Linked DNA regions of Xenopus tropicalis. The protein of the gene in region 2 interacts with the protein of the main gene of each other region in a pairwise test. Links are inferred from orthologs where the notes say so. Each region holds a gene or a part of one and is shown on either strand. Other genes may lie near its edges. The genes, in order: nfya, zc3h10 and atxn1.

Region 1 (3,655 bases), about 66 Mb from region 2:
TCTGCTCTGTGTGGAGAGGTGTAAGAAAGAAGCATCTTATCTGCAGCTCATTTAAGATCTTGTGTGTGTCTGCAGGCCCTCTAACACCACAAATCAGATACTTTTAGAAAATTACATTTAAATGTAAAATTTTACTTTATTGGGGGTGTTACGGATGCCGTAGTTAATATAATCACTAAACTTGGACCCCGGGCCAGCACTCCTGTCCTTGAAAAGTGTACTCTTCCAGGGCAGTGTTACCTGCTATGCCCCTCACCTTTGCCAATGCCCCTGTTCTATCATAATAGGGTAAAATTTGCAAATTTAGGGTAATGGCACACGGGAAGACTAGTCACCCGCAGACGACCAATCTCCCCAAAATGCTTTCCCACTGCCAATAATGTAAATGGGCGGTGGAAAACATAAGCGACAAAGGTTTTTCCAAAGTCGTGAGACAATCAAGAAAGATGAAAGTGTGGTGCTCCTTCAGAAGTACCCTGGCCAGGGCAGTTTTCTGATAAAAGATGCACCAACATTGGGTCTCAGGCAAGCGATAATTAACACTAGGGGGGTGCTATATATACATATCTGCCTGCATGTAAAACACAGAGCACTTATGGGACTTAAATTACGTGCAAAAATGTAATGGTGTAAGTCGACGTTTCAGTCCTACACAGAGGACCTTTAGCAAGACATCAATTCATATCATTGCTCTGTGTTGTAGATGCTGATATTTATTGCAGCAGCACCTAGTGCTTTCTCGCCATTTTTGGCCGAGCGCGCTGCCACAGGGGTGTGGTTTGAAATGATTTGGGATGTTGTATAATGCAGCAACAAATTATTTTATATAAAAGTCATATAAATGCAGCAGGAACACCTACTTAAATGCCACCCCACACAACAACACTTTACTTTGAGGATACATTTCAAATAATACTTGTTGAATTGTGCTCTGCCTGTATAAGGAAAAAAAAAAAAAGTGTTTTGGCTAATATTTACACACTTTTAAAAAAAAAAAAAAAAAAAAAAAAAAAAAAAAAAAAACAATCTCCCCCCTATCTAATGAAAGGTTGGAGTGGCTTTGGAATACTTTTGTCCCATTCTCACATCTTTGTACAGAAACATGGTACAGTGCAGTCAAATGTGCCTGCATAGTTAAACATTTTAAACACTACATCAACTAACAGCAGTCTCCAGGCTGTACAGCATTCTCATAGCTCACAAACTTATATTCAGCAAACTCATAGCACTCTTTTATAAGTCACTGGGAGAGATCTCTGGTTCATATACTTATTCTTAGCCTTACACTCACTCTCCTCTCTTTTGGGATTTTCCCTTCTGCCTCCAATTTAGCTCGTGCTTGTCGTCTCTTTAAGATTCGGTGATACTGCTTAGCATTCACGTAAAGTGGCTCTTCCTCAAGCATCTCGGCACCAGGCAGTGGTATCCTCTGTAGAGTGGGTACAGTGCCAGCACCAGGTACCATCTGTATTAAGATATTAATAATAAGCAAAGGGAAAAAAAAGCAAGGGAAAAAAAATCATGTATTCAAACCAGAGGCATACAGTATTAATACATACCATCACCATGCCTCCAGAGTTCATCATGTTGCCAGTCACAGGAAGAGTAACTGTCACAGTTCCTTGGCCACTGTTGGTGGTATTGGTGTTGGCTCCAGCCTGCACAATCTGAGCTCCAGCTAGGCTAGCAGCAGGTATGGTGATCATTCCTGTAACAGGGACTGTCACTTAAGGGGACAAATCAGGTAAAACAAAACACAGGGACAGAGAGGTGGATAGAGGATTAATCCTAGGTAAGCCGCCAGTGCTCACAACCAATATGTTGAATATAATAACTCATAAGTTGTGACCATTGTGGGGAGAACCTGCTGTCCAAGAGAAAGGTGATTATCCAAAGTTAAACAAAGTAAAGATAAAATACCGCACCCATGCTTTAAATAAATGGCAGGTTTAATATTATAGTTCAGTAAGTGCTGCCAGTGTCTAAGGAAGCTTATCACTATATCGCAGTTATACAAGCTAAACTGAATTTTTTTATAAGCATTAGAATGATCAATCGGTGGGTGTGGAAATGTCAGAATAAGAAAATGTTTAAGTATCAGAGTAATACAATAAATAAAACACAAGTTACATTTACTTACCTTGCTGAAGAATGGTTCCGTCTGCATTTACAGGCTGGTAAACTATAGTCTGACCTTCAGCTGTCTGTGCAACTTGCTGACCCTGAACAGCTATCTGCTGCTGGTTCTGCAAATGTTAATTGAAACCATAAACAAGTCAATGACATAATAAAACACTTCATTTACTTCAATGTGTTCCTTTTTGTTAGCATTCAGTAACTTATTAAACATGTTTTTAGATCTTGCTTACACTGACTTCTCTCATTAGCAGTAGCTAAGCAGTAATAAATACATTACTTTGTTTTTTTTTGTTTTTTTTTTTTAAATGAATTCTAACAACATGTGTTGTTGCTGAAGTTTTTGGTGTAATTAAAAAGCTTCAGTTAGGGAGATCAGATCTTCTAAGGCAGCAACAAATGGTAGATAAGCTGGTCACTGATTATGACAAAAAATGTTTTCAATTTATTCTAACAGATAAAATTGTTTTCTAACACACATAATTATATCCAGTGCTGTTCTTTACACTCTCTCCTCTCTTTATTATTTTAGCACCTATATGGTTGCTAGGGTCCAACTTACCCTAAGCAACCAGGCAGTGATTTCAGTAAGAGACTGAAAGGTGAATAAAAGAGGAGCTCAACAGAAAGGTAAGTGATAAGTAATATAGTAGATAAGGCTGAAGAAAGACATATCAACATTTCATACAGTACTGCACACAATGTTAATTATTAAAATGGAATATTAGCCTCAACACGCAATTTGTATGTGGACAGAGAACTAGCTGAAAGACAGATTCCAAAAGGTGGTGATAAATGGAAAATTTTCTATTTCAACCAATGCTGTTAGTGGGGTACATCAGGGGTCACAGTGGGGGGGGGTTGGTCACAGTGGGGGGGGTTGGTCACAGTGGGGGGGGGGGTTGGTCACAGTGGGGGGAGGGTTGGTCACAGTGGGGGGGGGTTGGTCACAGTGGGGGGGGGGGTTGGTCACAGTGGGGGGAGGGTTGGTCACAGTGGGGGGAGGGTTGGTCACAGTGGGGGGGGGGTTGGTCACAGTGGGGGGGGGGTTGGTCACAGTGGGGGAGGGTTGGTCACAGTGGGGGGAGGGTTGGTCACAGTGGGGGGGGGGTTGGTCACAGTGGGGGGGGTTGGTCACAGTGGGGGGAGGGTTGGTCACAGTGGGGGGGGGGGTTGGTCACAGTGGGGGGGTTGGTCACAGTGGGGGGAGGGTTGGTCACAGTGGGGGGGGGTTGGTCACAGTGGGGGGGGGGTTGGTCACAGTGGGGGGGGGGTTGGTCACAGTGGGGGGGGTTGGTCACAGTGGGGGGAGGGTTGGTCACAGTGGGGGGGGTTGGTCACAGTGGGGGGGGTTGGTCACAGTGGGGGGGGGGTTGGTCACAGTGGGGGGGGTTGGTCACAGTGGGGGGGGTTGGTCACAGTGGGGGGAGGGTTGGTCACAGTGGGGGGGGTGACCCCTGTATTAGTTCCAATTGGCCAGTAAATTCGGGCAGTTAATACATCCCAGAATACAACAAAG
Region 2 (3,755 bases):
CCGATTGTTTGGCCCTGGGGTCAAACAACCGGATTATGTAGGTGGCAATGGGGCAGTCGGTTAGGGGACCGCATCAACAAGCCGATGCGGCCCCTGATCCGACTGAATCTTTTAACCTGGCCAATTTCAGGCCAGATATCGGTCGGCCAGTCCGCTCGTTTCTGCCCCTACACGGGCAGATAAGCCGCCGAGTTGGTCCAAGGGACCGATATTGGCAGCTATTATCGGCCCGTGTATGGGGGCCTTAAAAAGCAGCAACTAGTGTGCTTCATTCATTTAAGAGTAAAAAGCTATAATCATAATTATACCCAATAAAGCCCATCCAGCTGTCTCTTCACCAGAACATGCAAACCTAAACATTGGTTATTAGGATTGCCACATTTAAGATAATTAAATAAAACAAACTGCAGGGATGTTAACTAGAGGGGTGGTTTGACATATAGGAGGGCAAGTAACTAGTCAGACGTTGGGTGAATCGGTTGAGTGCCCAGTGTTAAATGGAGTAAGAAATAAGAGGGCAACTATAGTTGGAATGCCTTATTCAACTGCCCCAGTTCAACATACTTAAAGGACATGTAAACCCCCCACACAAAAATGTAATCAGTGAACAGCCTCTTTGAAATCTCTCAATACCTGCCACACTGGTTGTCCAGAGGTTAATAGTAAGGCTGCAGGATCCCCTTAAAGGAACACCAAAAAATAAAAATGTTTTTAAGTAATCATAATACAATGCACTGTTGCCCTGCGCTGGTAAAATCTGCACATTTGCTTCAGAAACACTTCTGTAGTTTATATAAAAAGCTGCTGTGTAGCCATGGGGGCAGCCATTCAAGCTGGAAAAAGGAGAAAAGGCACAGGTTACATAGCAGATAACAGATAAAACACCATTGTATTGTACAGAACTTATCTGTTATCTGCTATGTAACCTGTGCCTTTTCTCTTTTAAATGGCTGCCCCCGTGTCTACACAGCAGCTTCATTTACTAAACCATAGTAATGTTTCTAAAGCAAATACACCAGTTGCACCAGTGCAGGGCAACAGTACATTATACACTTTGATTTTTTGGTGTTACTGTTCCTTTAATCACTTTTAAATCACTTAGCTCCCCCTCTCAGGAATTTGCTTTGGCTGTTGGCTTGTGGGCAAGCTCAGTTGTTCTAAGCTCAGATAACTAAACACGCCCCCAGTCTAGCAGCCAGTGAAAAGATAGCATTGCTGGTTCCCATAGAAACTCATCTCTAGCTGCAGGCTTCAATATTTTTCTCCCAACCTCCTCTCCTGAGCTCAGCACAAACAAAGCAGAACTTTTAGCAGAGACAGTCGTGCCTGTGTGAGCCTGTATTCTTGATGAAATGTATTCTGAATAAGGGTCTGTGTGTGTATGCTGTTTGCAGATTTAAATGTATCTGATTATGTACCAGAGGAAAAATGGCCACTGGGTGAAAGCTGCTATTTGCTTTAGGAAAGTGTGATGGTGCTGGCAAACGGAGAGGATATATGCAGTACAAATAATGCCATTTGGGTGGGGGAGACATGCCCAACTGATATACATTGTAGGCAAATGCAGGCTTTACATGTCCTTTAAGGCGGGGTAATATTTTTACTAAGTTTAGGGCACATATATACATGCAGAAAGAAAAAGATGTCTGTATGTTGCTACAGTTCAATGATCACCCAGCAAATGTAGAATATTATTGTCTAGGTCAGTGATCCCCAACCAGTGGCTCAGGAGTAACATGTTGCTCCCCAACCCCTTGGCTGTTGCCCCCAGTGGCCTCAGAGCAGGTGCTTATTTTTCATTCCTGGCTCAGAGGTAGGTTTCGGTTGATAAACCAAAAACCAGGTGTACAACCAAACACAGCAACCTGTAGGCTGCCAGTCCATAGGGGGTACCACAAAGCTCATACAGCCCTTATTTGGCACACCTGGGAACTTTTTTCATGCTTGTGTTGCTCCTCCAAATCTTTTATTCATTTAATAGTGGCTCTCAGGTACAAATAAAATGTTGGGACCCCCTGGTCTAGGACATGGAGGGAGGCGAGGCCACACTAACACCCTAAGGTTAATGTCTGCACGGCGGAATAAGTCACTTATGGGGTTAAGTTTTAAACGGAACTAAATTTGCCTAAAAGCAGTAGACAATTGCAGCCAATCAGCATTCCCCATGGGTACTGTTCATGGACATGCGCACTACATCGTCATACATGGGTCTTAGATTATTGTATCTACTAAATGTGACAAAACTCCTGTTGTACAAAAGAATAGGGACAATCTGATTGAAATCTCGATTTTCGACCCTAAATAAATGTATTAGCACCGTGTGAGCCCCAGTAAAGCAGGAGCCGCCGCACAACACGAGTTTAAATGAAACATTGGCTGTTTTTGCCTGTGGCGGAAGGAAGCCACTCGGAAACCAGGGAGTCTTTACAGTTTCTCCGCCAGGAACAACCATTCGCGCATTACGGGCAGAAGAAACAGCGATGGCGCCTATACACACCGACGGGCGGGAACAGAGCCGCCATCAATATGGGACAGTGGCCCGGGGTTACGGCGCCTGAATGGTCCCTCCCCTACACGAATCTCCCTACACCAACAGTACCACCAAACACATCCCGCACTCACAGATCGCTACTTACGGCTCCCGCAAACACGCTAGTCGCAAGCTCCCGGCCTCCTCACTTACAATCGATCCAACGCCACAAGTCTCATCACGCGAGACTTTGCGTCACAACTGCACGTAAGCGCCGTGACGCATCACGTACCACCATATTGGCGTGATGAGCCGACGCAGAGCTACGTCGGCTCATCACTCCAATATGGCGGTACGTCGGCTCATCACGTACCGCCATATTGGAGTGATGAGCTGACGTACCTCTGCGTCAGCCAATCGGATGGTGCTAGTAGGTGTGGTAGTTCCCCTCACAATTTGTATTTCTTTTGCTCGCACGTACTACTTCTGTTAGAGAACAAAAGAGACCGCAAAAAAATGATCTTCGTCTTGGTTTGTCATAATGTCCATGCTGTCCATGTCAGCTCCCAGTTTATTTAGTATTTGCTGCTTGGAGTTCTGACTTGGAACTTTAGGAATATAAGAGAGAAAAAATATAATGAGAAAACGTTTTTTTTCTAAATGTATCAGTTAGTAGAGTTTCTCCAGCAGAATCCTGCATTGAAATCCATTTTTCAAAAACACAGATTTTTTTTTGTATGTAATTTTGACGTTTTACATAGCCATATTCTTCATTTCTCAGGATGCTACAGCCATGTGACCTGTGCTGTTATGAACTTCAGTCACACTTTACTTCTAGGCTGCAAGTTGGAGTGATATCACCCCCCCAGCAGCAGATCAGCAGAACTACGGGAAGGGAGCAAGATAGCAGCTCCCAGTAGGTAACAGAATAGCACTCAATAGTAAAAAATAATGTCATGCATCCTCCAGTTACATTGAGTAGGAGAAACAGTAGGTTACCTGAAAGCAGTTCTAATGTGTAGCGCTGGCTCCCAAAAGCTCAGACTCAGGCACAATGCACTGAGATGGTGCCTACACACCAATATTACATTAAAAAAAACCAAACATTTGTTGGTTCAAGAATAAAATGGTAGAGCGAATTATTTGCTAAATAGTGTAATTTAGAAATAAAAAGTATACCATAAAAATCATGACAGTATCCCTTTAAAAAAACAATTTTTCCTGGTTGTCAAAAGAAGTACCTGCCACCATGGAAGCCATGTTGACCAAAATGGGAAAAGATTTT
Region 3 (3,755 bases), on a different chromosome or scaffold from region 2:
GAGCACAATAACTGTCATATTTAAAAATGGCAACTGTTACTTTTATAAAAGTGTTTCTGGAAGGAGCAGACTGGATCATACTGTTCTCCAGGAGGGCAGGGTAAAAGCAGCGAGGACAGAACCCAGCACTGTGGGGTGGAGCAGTCTGTCTGCCAAATGCTCCGGGCCTGTCTTTCTATCAGCACTAGGCCGTGGTTCAGAACACAATGCCTTGGCTTTAATGTAGGGCAACTTGTATTACTTAGGCCAGCTCTGTGCAAATTCCTAACCACATTCTGTCATTGGTTAGGCCTATTTACATGAATTCAAAGTAGAGCAACAATAATAATAATAATATGGACTGTATGTAGTGAAAGTGCAACATAAGAGCTAAAATGCAGCCCTGTCTGTTTAATTTTGATCACAAACATGTAAGCTCACTAAACATTGAACTACATGGCTTAATATCATTAATAAAAAAAATATATTAGAAAGGATTTTATACCTAGTAAGCCAGGTTTTATGGCTGCTTTCAGGGAAGTGCCAGGGATGCTGGTAGTTGTAGTCCAGCCAAAGAGGGCCGCATGTTGGGCATGCCTAATTTACCTAATTACCTCTATTCAGCCTTCTAGCTTTCTGTATCTGTAGCCCTTCCAGTTCTTTTATGTTCATGAATAATGGAATAACCCTACAATCAAAATAATGGCAAGATTGTGCAAGTGTCTCTATAGTAATCTGGAACCAGGTGGTCTCCATAGAAGAGAAGCAGACTGATAGATCAGACAGTAGGAGGAGGGGACTAAGAGAGGTGACATAAACGTGTGCTCTCCTCTCTCGTACACACACTCACACTGGCTCTCTTCATTACCCCATGGGGAAAGCAATTACTGCAGTCTCCCTATTACTGATCAGGGTAAAACACTCTATTACTCTCAGTTCCTATGGAAAGCAGGCCCCACTCTACACGAAACACAGACAGCGGCACTCATCAAGAACATTTGCACCGATGGTGCACTCCTGGTAGGCACTGCACTATATCATTTCAGCGAACAGAAAAAATACATGCCTGTATCTCTGACTGATTTCACTTATCGCTGCTTCTTTCAGGGGGTATAAAAAGCAGGAAAAATAAGCCTGTGATCTGTAGTTCTGCAAGGCTTACAGATGATCCCAGAGAAGCTTCTGTACATGGAAATGCTATAGTACATGCATGTATAGCACTTGCCCACTAAGGTCTGCATGATCAGAACAGAAAAGTGAAGAGACAAATAAAATCGACTTACTGTAAAGTGCAGTATAGGGGCTTGTTGGATGAAGAGGGTGTCTGAGCTATTGCTTTTTTTTTCCTCCTACTCTGCCCCCCCTCGCAGAAAGACAGGTCTTGTACGTCTCCTCTACTGTAGTAGAAATGATGTCTGCAGTACAGCTCTCTCCCTCTCTCTCTCCAGTATGTAAATGTGTAATAGAAGCCAAATATGGAGCAGTTGGCTGCCTCTGCAACAGCTCAAGGATCCTACTTCATGCAAAAGGGAGGAAGGGGGGGGGCAGAGAGTGTGTGTGGAGGCAAGGCAACACTCTGGCAGACGGCCAAGGCAGCCACACAGATTATTGCATACGCACAACAGAGCTGGGGCGGTCGGCTTTAACCCCTTCTACGTGCTGATCCGCCAGCCTGCCGTATACTTGTTGTATCTCTACAGCTACTGAGGGTGCAGTTTTAAATGTGGGTGTTCCCCTTAAAAGAAAAACAAAGAGGTTTTCGGGATTCTTCTTCAGGATCATTTAAAGGAAGAAAGTGCGAGCAGAGACGTAGCAGCAGCGCGGAGTAACTTTAATACGTGCACACGTTTGATTCCTGTAGGGTGTGTGCCTCTGTTGGAAAGAGAAGAAGGGGTGGAGGAGAGGCAGAGAGTAGGAATTGTAAGGGCAAGCCAAGCTCAATGTCCACAGAGAGGAACAACGCAGACCTTACGTGTTCACGTCATGTAGGAAATCGCTTCTGGCTTAACCCTATCTGTGCCAGCAGGCTGAACAATGGAATTCATTCCACCACATAAGCCTTTTTTCAATAAGGCACCGTCCTATTTGTGTGAATGTGTTTTCCTATCTCATAAGGGAATGAAAATCCCTGAAACTTTCAGCTTTGGGCATACCCCTTCATGTAAAGACGTTTTCTATTACAGCTCACTTCCTGGGTGCTTCAGCTGCTGCCTTGTGGGAAACAGCACCAAGGGCACCTATTGCCTGTGATTTTCTGACTGTTTGTCCAGCAGGTGTCAAGTGTTTGAGGACTTTTCTAACCTGTTGTGTTTTTTTTTCCTCTCTCCAGGGAACAGAGGGTTACTGAAAAGCATGCTAACAGACTCGGTGACCCTGAAGAGTACCCTCTGGTGGTAAAACATAATAGGTTGTGGAAAACACAGCAAGCAGATGGCTTGTTTCCTTCATATATGTCATGCAGTGGTTTTTTTTGTTGTTTCACAGTTCCAATGCCCTGCAATAAGTAACAGCAAACACAGTAAAGTGTACACACGGCTTCCTGGCTGAACATTGCCCCTGGTACAAACAAACAGTCCAGGCTGGTTGTATTAAGCGATATAGAGGGCATCTTCCATCAGCCACCAACACTAAAGGTGGCCTTTGGGGGGGTGATATGAATAAAAGTACCTAAGATGTATTATAAGTCTTTAAGTAGTTAGAAGGATGTCTCACAGTTGTTTAGCTGCAGTACCAAACTGAACTGTAGGTCAAAAATGGGCGTAGGGCCACAGCTTTAAGTGAATATTCAAACAAGCATACAAGCAATATACAAAAAAGTATTAAAAAAGTGGGAAAAAATACTACTCTTTTAATGCATGTTTTTTGTGTTTTGAACTCCTCCAAGGTGTGTCTTTAGCTATCTCAGTTTAAGACGGAGTGAGCATCAGTGGTCCATACTGAAGAGAGAGAAATGGGAGCAACCAAACGCGGATCAAGATGTGGCATGCATTAAAGACTGGATAAGGCTGACCTGCTGGGCCCACAGGAGCCATGACAGATAAGCTTATAAGCTTTTACAAAATATGTACAATACTGTTACATGTATTGTTATTATAAATTACCCTTATGACTTTTGAGTATTTAATTGCAGCATGTTAACTGCTGATTAATTGCTATTTATTTGAATAGATCTGGAGCAAACTTTGCACCTATTTTCTTCCATTTCTCCTAACAGATACTAGTAATAGGTATATATAGAATAGATAGGTATATATATAGATAGATAGTATAGTGGTTTAGGTAATATTTGGCTATTTTATAACCATATTGTTATTCTCCAGAAGCAGAATCGGATACAATGTAGAAGAATGTTGAAATAAGCTTGAATGCTTAGAATGCTGAGAAATAAGGTATTTCATAAACTGTCAAACATAAATCTCACAGGTAAAGTATCGATAAATGTAACTATTACTCAATAACATTTATGTATATGGTGCAGTAATAAATAATAACTAGGGACTATTTGGAGGAATGTCTTCCATTATGTCTGGCCATATGGCCATTAAAATGCTATCCACGCCCTTTTAATATTGCTCACCATACTTGAGTGAACTAGAACCTGTACTATAAGCTTGCACTGAGCAGGACTTCTGCTTATGAGACATCCATATCCATATCCAGCCACATGCCACCTTTTACATAGAGAACAGCAGTAGGATATTCCCTACCTAGCTCAAACCTTTGTACCTCAAGAAAGTGGGCGCCCCAAGGTTGCCACAGTTGTGTTGGAAAAATGC

Evidence for each region.
Region 1: the proteins of zc3h10 (region 2) and nfya interact in binary tests that used the Homo sapiens proteins (3 or more experiments, as listed by UniProt). The two-hybrid records come from large-scale screens. The link is inferred for Xenopus tropicalis from reciprocal best matches to the Homo sapiens genes ZC3H10 and NFYA.
Region 3: the proteins of zc3h10 (region 2) and atxn1 interact in binary tests that used the Homo sapiens proteins (3 or more experiments, as listed by UniProt). The link is inferred for Xenopus tropicalis from reciprocal best matches to the Homo sapiens genes ZC3H10 and ATXN1.

The regions. Positions count from the first base shown.
Region 1 is NC_030678.2:71,394,776-71,398,430, forward strand, and holds part of nfya (nuclear transcription factor Y subunit alpha), read right to left. Parts: intron 2,247-3,655; coding exon 2,141-2,246; intron 1,727-2,140; coding exon of another isoform or gene 1,709-1,726; coding exon 1,560-1,708; intron 1,466-1,559; coding exon 1,292-1,465; coding exon of another isoform or gene 1,286-1,291; intron 1-1,285. UniProt on the Homo sapiens protein: Component of the sequence-specific heterotrimeric transcription factor (NF-Y) which specifically recognizes a 5'-CCAAT-3' box motif found in the promoters of its target genes.
Region 2 is NC_030678.2:137,623,981-137,627,735, forward strand, and holds the start of zc3h10 (zinc finger CCCH domain-containing protein 10), read right to left. Parts: upstream 2,701-3,755; 5' UTR 2,637-2,700; exon of another isoform or gene 2,623-2,636; intron 1-2,622. UniProt on the Homo sapiens protein: Specific regulator of miRNA biogenesis. Binds, via the C3H1-type zinc finger domains, to the binding motif 5'-GCAGCGC-3' on microRNA pri-MIR143 and negatively regulates the processing to mature microRNA.
Region 3 is NC_030682.2:93,270,874-93,274,628, reverse strand, and holds the start of atxn1 (ataxin-1), read right to left. Parts: upstream 2,330-3,755; 5' UTR 1,263-2,329; intron 1-1,262. UniProt on the Homo sapiens protein: Chromatin-binding factor that repress Notch signaling in the absence of Notch intracellular domain by acting as a CBF1 corepressor. Binds to the HEY promoter and might assist, along with NCOR2, RBPJ-mediated repression. Binds RNA in vitro.